3 linked regions of the Caenorhabditis elegans genome follow. The protein of the gene in region 1 purifies or fractionates together with the protein of each later gene. This does not show direct contact. Each region holds a gene or a part of one and is shown in the gene's direction. Other genes may lie near its edges.

Region 1 (3,871 bases):
ATTCCGCTTGAACTTTTCTCTGAACTTCAGGATGATTTCCCAGAAGATGTATTGCCCACATTAGTCCTGTAGATGTTGTATCGTGGCCTTCAAACATGAATGTGTCAACTTCTGCCTGAACATCTGTTTCGTCCATTTGTCCACTTTTCACCATTTCGAGAAGAAGATCTAAAAATGCGAGACGACCTTCCATCTTATAATCATTCTCCTGTAGCGCTTCTTTTCTCTCGACAATTACTTTCTTCGTGAAATCATGTAGAATACGAAGACATTTTTCATGCGTTCGTCCGTCTTCTGTTCTGAAAAATAAAATTGAATTGACCTTTTTAATGATAAAACTATCGTACAAATTGTAAATAAACGAATTCCACATTAACGGATTATTTGTTCGCTTTGAGATCAGCTTGTTGATTGTGTGCACCGCCCATACATACTCGTTATTCTGAAAAAAAAACGTTTAGAAATGTTGCGATTGAAGAATTTCTCGAACCTCCGCGAGTTGAGCACCGATAGCTTTGCCCATGGAAGTTTCACAAATGATATCAAGAGTGCACAAGGTTATAACGGAGAGAACATCAACTTCTTCCCTGAAAATGAATATTTGAAAGCGTTATAAATTGAAATTCTCACTCTGCTCCGAGGGAACACATTTTCTGAACCAAAATCTTTGATTGCTCGTTGAAAATCGGCAAAAAATCCTTCAGAATATCATAATGGAAGGTGGGTGTCAAGAGTTTTCGCTTTGGACGCCATTGTTCCTTCTGGCTTGTCAAAATACTGATTCCAAGCCATGGCTCAAGCAAAACGTATGCGAAACCTTTGTTCAGATGTTTCGTCGACGAGAAAATTGGTTCCACGAGATCGGCGGAGTAGAGCATCAGGCAAGGGAACGGACCAATCCACAAAAGACACATACGTGGATCTGGATATAAATATCCCATTCCAATTACTTGGTTCATGAATCCCTCTGGATCTGGCTTGGTGACCAGTCCGTGACCGACGATTGGATATGAACGTGGTTGATTGAGATGCTGAAAATTTATTTAAATTATCTTCAAATGAATTTTGAAATCAAACCTTCAAAGCTTGACGCATTCTCAAGTGTTTGTAGAGAAGCCAAGCGATTATCGTCGCCGAAGCGAGAAGTACAGCGGGGATGATAACCCCCATTGCAAAACCTTCTGAAATAATTTATTTGAGCGAAAAAAACGAGCAAAAAGCGTTGAAAACTTGAGGAAAATTGTTTGTTAAGCTTTGGTTTTGAAAATCGCAAAAAAAAAAGTTTTTGAACGAACATTCAAATTTCAGACAAGTCGTGGTGAGACCCATGTGAAAATCGTCATGCGTCTTTAAAGAGTACGGTAGTCTTGAGAAAGTTCTCGAACGAATTTTTGTCGTTTTCTGATATTTCAATCTTGATTTAAATAATTATTAAAAACTTTTAATTACCATTATTTTTTCAACAAAAAAATGAAGAAAACAAAAAAACAAATCCAAAACTATTTTTCAATGAATATTGTACTTTTTATGAATGCTTCGTCTATTTGACCTATTTGACGTATTTGATCCCCCCGTCGAAAAACCAGCGCAACTATTTCATATAGGCTCAACGAATTTTTGATCGTGAATCTTCTTCTTCTTTGCTGACACTCACAAAAACTGATGAAGTTTTTTAAAAAATGGTTTTATCGATAAATTATTATTAATCTGCCAATCACTTCAGTACATTTACTTTTTTTTTAGTTTTCTCTTTCATTTTTGCTTCAAATTTTTTATAAAATTTTAAATCAACGTTTTTCAGAATGTCAGCTCCATCTCGCACCGTCCTTCGCGATTTGACGGCGACCAGATACGTCGCCAACTACGCCGAAGAAGATCGCTTGGAAACCGCTCGAGCCGGTTGCTCTTCCCTCCCACCACAACCCAACATCAATCATGATGTAATTATCGAAGGGCACGGAGAAGATGTGGAGCTCGTCGAAGATGAGAACTACTGTTCCGTTCATCGTATCGATGAGACTCCAAAGCTCGTCGACAAGAAACCGAGCAAGACAATCATCCGCGATGAAGCTGTCAAAGTGCTCCGGCACATTCAGACTGTGCCGATTGAAAATCTTCGTCTTAAGCGCTACGACTATTTCTCGCAAAGATGGTTCCACACGACCAGAGAATCGGAGAAAGCGCTTGTCGAGCACGTGTTTCTTCATCCCAACCAACGACCACATTATTTTGCCGCTCAGTGCCGGAAGCTGTCGGTCGAGGATATCTCTAGTTTGATTCTGGTTAGTTTCTTGGCCATATTTTTGATAAAGCATAAATCTCATTTCAGACTTCTCTCCTGACCGAACCGAAGGAAACGGGACAAAATGTGGCTCGATTTGCTATCCAGACAACCAATGAAATGTCGTTCCAAACGTTATTTGCATTGCTCGAACAACTAGAGAAGGAAAACGAAAGGTTCCAAATGACAGATAGCTTTGTGGTTGCAACCCTGATCCGATCACAGACGAAGAGAGTAAGTAAATCGGTTTTATATTACACACAAATAACTTTTCATGTTTCAGACTATCACTCGTCTCCTGAGAACCACACACTGCCGGGAATACGGAAATCTCGAGCCAGGACTCGATTCACAAGGCCGGCTGATGACTTCGACTGCATCAATCACGTGTTCAATTCGAGGAAAGCGCCACGTGGAAACGAGGATCGTGTACAAGAACAACTCGAGCACCAGGGATCCTTTCCGAAGAAATAGAGTGAGTTGTATAGCAATAATTCTATCGATTTCCAATTTATAACATTTTCAGTACATCGAATTGGAGCAAACGGTGAAGTGCATGAACCGGCGAGTGCTGATTGTCGAAGAGCCAGTCGAAATCCACGAATTCGAGGTCGAAAAGGATATGATCTCGCTGGAAAACGGAATTGCGCCAGTCGACGACCTGATCTCGTTTCTCGAAACATTCGAACTGGATGAAGAGGACGAGTAACTCCATATATGTCCTATAATTAGTAGTAATGTGCATAAGTCTGTATTATTGTATATGTATTTAAATAACCGAGTGGTTCCTGTTGAATATTCCAACTAACTTCCCCTATTTTATTTTCCTTTTTTGTTTTAGTTGTTTTATGTATATAGATTCTCCAATGCCCAAATTGTGACAACCCACGACTATTTTGTTTATATTCGACATGTATATTGCCCGCATTTATTTTGATTTTTTTTCAAAGATGAATTTGTTTGAGGTATAATTTTACAATGCATTACTGCTCTGATTGATTGATTAGAATATGAATTTCAACTATTCCCGGCTTTTCACTGGTAAATTACTCCATATACGTTATTTTCCCACCGCAACAACCTGGCCTTTTCATTGCCTCATTCACAGCATACGACTTGTAATGTCTGCACTCTCCCCGTCTCATCACGTAATCAGGTCTCTCTCGATTCTTCCCGTTTAAATATATATCTGCTCTATTGCACCTCTTCATTTCCTTGTTCAGGAAAATAGCATAATTTCAAAATGCCTCGGAAGAAGAACGATGTGCAAATCACCGAGGAAATGAAGAAGAAAACCGCCGAAGAGGTTATCAAAAAGGTGAGTTTTATTTATTTATTTATTCCTAGTTTTGAAATTAATTTTCCAGCTGCCAACAGTGAAATCGAAGCAAGACGCTATCAACGAGAATCTGCAAAAACTTCAAGAATTCCGAGATAATGAGCCGAACCCCTATGGAAAGGGTAAAGTGGGTTTTTTTAAACAATTTTTATAACTAATTTTTGCGAAATCCAATCATTAAAAATTCAATATAAATACAGTAGTCTGTTTAAAGGGGCACGTGGTTGTACGGCTGGGTCTCGCCACGATTT
Region 2 (3,627 bases), on another chromosome or scaffold:
TCTTTTTTGGGTCTCATCACCATCTTGCAAATTAAAAAGACAAGACAATAAAAACTTTTTTGAAAACTTACCAAAATTCTAAATTTTATCCAATATAGTTTTTGCTCAAGAGATAGAGAGAAAGAAAATCAAAGTTTCGCTAAAAAAAGTAATAATTCAAAAATTTGTGGCAGTCAGGCATTTTATGAGTTCTTGAAATCTCAAATTCGATTGTTCAGACTATTCTGTGTACTTCATCAACAAGGATTCCCGTGTCACCAATCTCAATTTGACCGGTTGTGACTGGGAAGATGTGATCAAGTACGGAACGTGTATCGAAAAACTGGAGCTCAACATTTGCCCTGGAAAATCCACGTCCCAGCTGTTCCAAACCATAAAAAGAGCTTGTGAGTTGATGCTGCAAAATTTTCCGAAATATGAATTCAAATTCTTGAATTTCAGCATTCACTCTCCGTTCTCTCAAGATTAACGTGCTGGCTGGTGCCGATAAGTGTGTGCAGAAGATGAAAAATCTTGAGAAGGTGAGTTTTCTGAAAATTTTATGTGATGTATAGGAATCAAACGCTTACCCACAATCTAAAAATATAATCATTTTCAGAGATGCTTTGATTTGGTCAGCCGACATAGTTCATCACTCCGTCACCTCGAGTTGTCGACCTCCGATGAGCAACACGTGTATGCCGATTTGAACATTGCCACGTCATCGATGCGATTGACCTACCATCAGCCCGCGGAGCCAAAGCCCAGTGAGCAAACGAGGCATGGTCAGAATCACTCGTTCATGTACATCATGTTCCATGATTACCTTAACCGTAAGTTTTTAGTTTAAAAAAAAAACAATAGTAGCAAGTGACGGTAGGCAGACAGGAGGACGCCTACCTACAAATTCACCTTCATCCCTAGAATATTCCAGATCATACCATCAGCAATGTTACCCTGGAAATTGCGAGCAAGTACGACGCAAACCTAGCTCTCCAAAAAGCCTACCAAGCAGCACTCCCTCACTCGAGAAGACGCTTCCTCGAGAGCCTAACCATCGAATTCGGAAACTCCCTGAAAGCTGTGACCGAGGAAGAAATGAAGAGAGTTCTGTTGTGCCACGTCGATGAATTCCATCACACTACTCCAAATCTTCAACATTTCCATTGCAGCCTGCCACATGATGAGGTAAGGCTCTAAATTTGATAATTTCTATTAAAAAATCAAGAACTTTCAGATTGATCTCTCCCAAGAATTCCTGGCGTTGCTCAATGAGCCAGTCCGCAAGACCCGACAGTCAAAGTCCAGCTGTCCATACAATTCGACAATTTCCCTCCGTGCAGTCAGGTGTCAATAATAATAGTAATTATAATAATTGTAAATTGTGCAAAACTGTTCTTATTTCCACAAACATTTTTCCAAATGATTCTCTTCTTTTCTGCATTTTCTTCTCGTTTTCTGTGTACATTTCCCCATGTTTTTGAATTCAGTGTAAATAAATCAAGAATTCAAGTGGTTTCAAATTTTATTTATTGGCAAACGGAAAAACGCAAAATTACCAGAAAATTGCACGTGTAATTGACCTTACGAAAAAAAATTAACAAAAGATTGTACGTGTTGATAAAAGTCAATGTGTGGTTGAAAATTGAAGAATTCAATCATTACGATTCTTGCGACGGACACGAGTGACAACTTTGGACCATCGCTCCGCCCCTACCAAAGGTATGTTTCAGGGTTTCGTTGCGAAATGTGATGCATTTCGTCGATGCATCTTACTCCCCAAATCGGCCAAGCTTTCACCAGCTTTTAGCCCACTTGCCGGCTATTCATCATACTTTCCGCGCTAGCTCACAGCCAATAAAGCCAACAATTTTTCAGTAAAGAAGAACAATAATGACAGCGACAATCGATGTCGATAACTTGATGAGCCGTTTGCTCAATGTCGGCATGTCCGGTGGAAGACTGACAACTTCTGTCAACGAGCAGGAACTCCAGACGTGCTGCGCTGTGGCCAAGTCGGTGTTCGCCTCCCAAGCATCACTCCTGGAGGTTGAGCCGCCGATCATCGTGTGCGGAGACATCCACGGACAGTACTCGGACCTTTTGCGCATCTTTGACAAGAATGGATTCCCACCGGATATCAATTTTTTGTTCCTGGGAGATTATGTGGATCGTGGAAGACAGAATATTGAGACAATCTGTTTGATGTTCTGCTTCAAGATCAAGTATCCGGAGAACTTCTTCATGCTTCGTGGAAACCACGAGTGCCCAGCCATCAATCGTGTCTATGGGTTCTACGAGGAGTGCAACCGTCGTTACAAGTCGACTCGTCTCTGGTCAATCTTCCAGGTAAGGGGAGCAGAAAGCATTTTGTCAACTTACTTCGCTGCGTAATAATGAAACAAATCTCTCAATTCCCCATTTACAGGACACGTTCAACTGGATGCCTCTCTGTGGACTCATTGGTTCCCGCATCCTCTGCATGCATGGTGGCCTCTCCCCACACCTCCAAACTCTTGATCAACTCCGTCAACTTCCTCGCCCTCAGGATCCACCAAATCCATCGATTGGAATCGACTTGTTGTGGGCTGATCCGGATCAATGGGTGAAGGGATGGCAGGCAAATACTCGTGGAGTCTCTTATGTCTTTGGACAGGATGTTGTTGCTGACGTTTGCTCGAGACTTGACATCGACTTGGTTGCTCGTGCACATCAAGTCGTTCAAGACGGCTACGAGTTCTTCGCCTCCAAGAAGATGGTCACCATTTTCTCGGCGCCTCACTACTGCGGACAGTTTGACAATTCGGCTGCAACAATGAAGGTGAGATTCTTTATTATAACTTCTCTGTGAAAATTGAATATTATAGGTCGATGAGAACATGGTCTGTACTTTCGTCATGTACAAGCCAACTCCGAAGTCTCTTCGTAAAGGATAGGATCGATAGATTGCCACCACCAACCAACCAACCAAAAGAGAAAAATGAAAACGGTGTTTACTCAAATTATGTGTTTGAAAGAATGAATAATTATTGAAAGAGCTACTATTTTTTACTATTTTGTTCCGATCGCACCAGTCATAAATACATATATACAAATTCCTAGTATCTGCTTGGAAAGATCATGACTATTCCTAGCATGCATAAAATCCTGCCTGCTTGTCTTGGCTACCTGTATTACTCTGCAATCATTGCATCATTTCGCAGAAAATCTTTGAAAAAATTGTCGGAAAACGTTTAATGCTTGCCTCTCTGCCTGAGCTGCCGAGCCTGAGCAACGCCAGGAACTCTTGGGAGAGATTAATCTGAAAATTCTTGAATCTTTGATTTTGTTGTTTTTTAGCATCGGACCGGAAGTTCATTTCTCGAGTTTCCAGACAACAAGTTCACCGGAAGAAAATTTTCAGCCTTTTTCCAAATGACGTTTTCACTTCAAAGGTGTCTTTTCTCGTCTGCGAAACTCTAAACGACTGATCCTATTACACATCTCTTATAACAGCTGACACTCTTCCTTTCAAACCGGTCACTACTCTTGCTCCTCTCTATTATACACATTTCGGCTCGAGAACAAATCTTCCAAATGGCCGACTCCATTGCTTCCATTGGGAATAGATATATCGATAATAATGGTTAGTTTTAAATTTTAATTTTT
Region 3 (3,664 bases), on another chromosome or scaffold:
GTTCTTCCCTGTCACTTGAACTTCTCTTGCTCCGATTGCTCACTTGTTTCCGAAGGCTTTTCGAACTGCCCTGGGCTGTTTTTTCACTTCTTAAACGATTTCTATCATCTCTTCTGCTACGTTCTGGTTCTTCTGGCTTTCTAGAGCTACTAGTACGCTTTGATCCTTCACCAACATTTTTCTGATGACTTTTTTGTTCCAAACTTTTGGGGTTACGATCTTTGATACTTCTGAAAAAATACAGCTTTACTTCAAAATTAGGTCCAAAAATGAACTTGATTTAATTGTTCGATTGAAATTATTTTCAGCACAATTGCCAAAAAATAAATCAGACATAATGCTCACACTGAGACTGCAAACGCTCACAATGTGAAAATTACAAACGGTCGAGTTATGCGAATCAACTGTGAAATATAAGAACTGCGGGAAGTGTACAAAGAAAACTCATTTTTCTCTTATTCTCATGTATTTTTCACTTTCAATTGGGTTTATTCGTGCATTTGCAGCCTTGTAATTTTACGTGGTTCTGATCCTATCCTACCTATCAATTTTCCTAGACTGTTCCTGGTCTTCCACTTTTTCCCGCGAGCTTCCATCATCCTTCTTCAACTTCTTCTCCAGATTTTCATCTTTCTTCTCATCTTCATTATCCTCTTTATCTACTGTTACCTCCTTTCTCTTACTCTTCTTACTCTTCTTGCTCTTTTTAATCTTATCACCATTCACTTTTCTCAGCTTCTTCTTACTTTTGAAGCTCTTCAAACTCCATTTGCTCTCCATATCACTCCGATCCTTGTGTCGTTGATTTTCCCGGTGTCCAGATGTACATCCAATTGATATTAGAATTGCAGTTAAACTTGCAATTGCAGCTAGATACACTGGAAAATCAATGGGATTTTAAGCGGGAAACAGTAGAACTTACAATAGTTAAGAGAACTGTGAAAGAGCACAAAGTGGAGGCTCATGTTTGATTGGAAATAAATTTGGAACAGAGAATAGCTTTAGTTTTTTTTTAAATTTAAATAACCAGAAATCTTCACGTTTTAAATGTGATTTCTTTTTTTTTTAAGAAAGGAGATAAAATCGATTTGGAAAAATCTTCCCAGGCACTAAAGATCCCAAAAAGTACAAATTCAATTATTTAACCAACCCAATTGTTTCTAATGGTACATTTGTTAGATAATTTCAATACCTAAAAGGTAGGCAGGCACACCTTTATATCTACTTATCCTTTTGCTTAACGCCTATTTTCTGCGTTTTTGCGAAAAATTAACTTTTAAAAAAGTTTTTTCGCAAGTTTTCGATGATTTTAAATGTTCTTAGTAATATTACTATTAATAGGCAAACTTCCTGACTTTTATTTGAATTTGGAATTATTTTTGATCGAGTTGGATGAATTTTTTTTTAGATTTTTAACAATTTTTCAAAAAGCTTCCAGGAAACTATTCAGCCCGCGTTTTCAGGGGATCAGAGTTGAGTTCCGCAGCAAACATTTTGTCTAGAAGTCCTAGTTTAAAAATAAGCGTTCTAATGGCAAACGTCTTATTTTTAAGTCCGATTTCCTTTAATTGGAAGTCCGAAAAACTAAAAAACAAAATTATCAAAACAATTTTGCGTGTAATTGACCTCGCGAAAAAAAATTACCAAAAGATTGCACGTGCTGATAAAAGTCAACGTGTGGTTGAGAATTGAAGAATTCAATCATTGTACGATTCTTGCGACGGACGACAACTTTGGATCATCGCTCCGGGCCTACCAAAGGTATGTTTTGTGGTATCGATGCGAAATGTGATGCATTCAATCGGTGTACTAGGTCATCGGGCTTCCATGGGAGGCAGGCACTGTTTCAAAACCTGCCGTCGCCGCACGGCCGCCGCGGCAGGCGTTTTGTTACCTATGTGGAAGCCCTCCGATGCATCATTCTTGTTGACAACCAATAAATCAATAATTTTTCAGTAAAGAAGAACAATAATGACAGCGCCAATGGATGTCGATAACTTGATGAGCCGTTTGCTCAATGTCGGCATGTCCGGTGGAAGACTGACAACTTCTGTCAACGAGCAGGAACTCCAGACTTGCTGTGCTGTGGCCAAATCGGTATTCGCCTCCCAAGCATCACTCCTGGAGGTTGAGCCGCCGATCATCGTGTGCGGAGATATCCACGGACAGTACTCGGATCTCTTGCGCATCTTTGACAAGAACGGATTCCCGCCTGATGTCAATTTCCTGTTCCTTGGAGACTATGTGGATCGTGGAAGACAGAATATCGAGACGATCTGTTTGATGTTATGTTTCAAGATCAAGTATCCAGAGAACTTCTTCATGCTTCGTGGAAACCACGAGTGCCCAGCCATCAACCGTGTTTATGGGTTCTACGAGGAGTGCAACCGTCGTTACAAGTCGACTCGTCTCTGGTCAATCTTCCAGGTAAGGAGAGCAGACACTTTGTCGAACTTTGTCCCCTTTCTGTAGCGGATTATCACTTCGCTGCGAAGAATGAAACAACTCCCTAATTCTCCAAATTTCAGGACACTTTCAACTGGATGCCTCTCTGTGGACTCATTGGTTCCCGCATCCTTTGCATGCATGGTGGTCTGTCCCCACATCTTCAAACTCTTGATCAACTTCGCCAACTGCCACGCCCCCAGGATCCACCAAATCCATCGATCGGAATCGACTTGTTGTGGGCTGACCCTGATCAATGGGTGAAGGGATGGCAGGCAAATACTCGTGGAGTCTCTTATGTCTTTGGACAGGATGTTGTTGCTGACGTTTGCTCGAGACTTGACATCGACTTGGTTGCTCGTGCACATCAAGTCGTTCAAGACGGCTACGAGTTCTTTGCCTCCAAGAAGATGGTCACCATTTTCTCGGCACCTCACTACTGCGGACAGTTTGACAATTCGGCTGCAACAATGAAGGTGAGATTCTTTATTACAACTTCTTTGTGAAAAATCGAATATTTTAGGTCGATGAGAACATGGTCTGCACTTTCGTCATGTACAAGCCAACTCCGAAGTCCATGCGTCGAGGATAAGCTCTGCAAACTGTCACCACCATCCAACCAACCAACCAAATGAGATAAATCAGTTGAAGTCTGTGTGTTTAAATGAATGAATGATTGAGGAAAATTCTTCTTTGTTTTAATTGCTTTTTTTCCGGGCACACATCAGCAATTAGCAATCATGTTTCCGCGCTAAATACGGTGTCTGCGCAGATAGCTTATAAGACAAAAACCGCCTATTTAGCCGAAGTGAAACAGGCACAAAGGATACCTAGGTAGGCAGGCAAGAATGTATTATCAGACAAAAAAGTTCGCATCCTGAAATCATATTCGAGTGTAATTTCGAGAAAAGTATTCTTGAATGTTTGAAAAATATTGCAGAACGGCGTACGACAAGGAAAGCATGTGAACTTGGGTGGCAAATCGGATGCATTCTGTTGGATGGAGGTTATCAAAAATGCACATTTTGCACATGTTTTAAAAAATTTTAGAATTCAAAAAAATAGAAACAAATTTTTATTCAATTAAAATTAATTAATAACATTAATATTTTCCTCATTTGTGAAGCTGTTTTTTGAAAAAAAAAAATTCCCGTAATGTGTCGCTCAGCAAAAATAGAAAATAAATCAATTAAAAAATTTTCGAACACAATATTCGCTT

Evidence for each region.
Region 2: the proteins of memi-1 (region 1) and gsp-4 purify together in Caenorhabditis elegans (affinity purification with western blotting, with the first as the bait; one study listed by BioGRID). This does not show direct contact.
Region 3: the proteins of memi-1 (region 1) and gsp-3 purify together in Caenorhabditis elegans (affinity purification with western blotting, with the first as the bait; one study listed by BioGRID). This does not show direct contact.

Annotation. Positions count from the first base shown.
Region 1 is NC_003282.8:4,758,359-4,762,229, reverse strand, and holds memi-1 (MEiosis-to-MItosis transition associated), read left to right. Parts: upstream 1-1,801; 5' UTR 1,802-1,802; coding exon 1,803-2,282; intron 2,283-2,329; coding exon 2,330-2,515; intron 2,516-2,564; coding exon 2,565-2,756; intron 2,757-2,807; coding exon 2,808-2,990; 3' UTR 2,991-3,248; downstream 3,249-3,871. Other genes in the region: cyp-31A3 (CYtochrome P450 family), read right to left, coding at 1-299, 348-442, 491-587, 631-1,031, 1,078-1,170.
Region 2 is NC_003279.8:3,837,677-3,841,303, reverse strand, and holds gsp-4 (Serine/threonine-protein phosphatase PP1-delta), read left to right. Parts: upstream 1-1,630; 5' UTR 1,631-1,701; intron 1,702-1,857; 5' UTR 1,858-1,872; coding exon 1,873-2,328; intron 2,329-2,407; coding exon 2,408-2,800; intron 2,801-2,846; coding exon 2,847-2,915; 3' UTR 2,916-3,014; downstream 3,015-3,627. Other genes in the region: T03F1.6 (F-box domain-containing protein), read left to right, coding at 219-386, 442-521, 599-812, 914-1,167, 1,208-1,336; F53F10.1 (Coiled-coil domain-containing protein 102A), read left to right, coding at 3,556-3,604. UniProt on the Caenorhabditis elegans protein: Probable phosphatase which plays a redundant role with gsp-4 in spermatogenesis by regulating sister chromatid segregation during meiosis.
Region 3 is NC_003279.8:4,708,729-4,712,392, reverse strand, and holds gsp-3 (Serine/threonine-protein phosphatase PP1-gamma), read left to right. Parts: upstream 1-1,680; 5' UTR 1,681-1,761; intron 1,762-1,956; 5' UTR 1,957-1,971; coding exon 1,972-2,427; intron 2,428-2,528; coding exon 2,529-2,921; intron 2,922-2,968; coding exon 2,969-3,037; 3' UTR 3,038-3,134; downstream 3,135-3,664. Other genes in the region: W09C3.2 (uncharacterized protein), read right to left, coding at 1-230, 542-878, 923-965; W09C3.3 (Methyltransferase FkbM domain-containing protein), read right to left, coding at 3,631-3,664.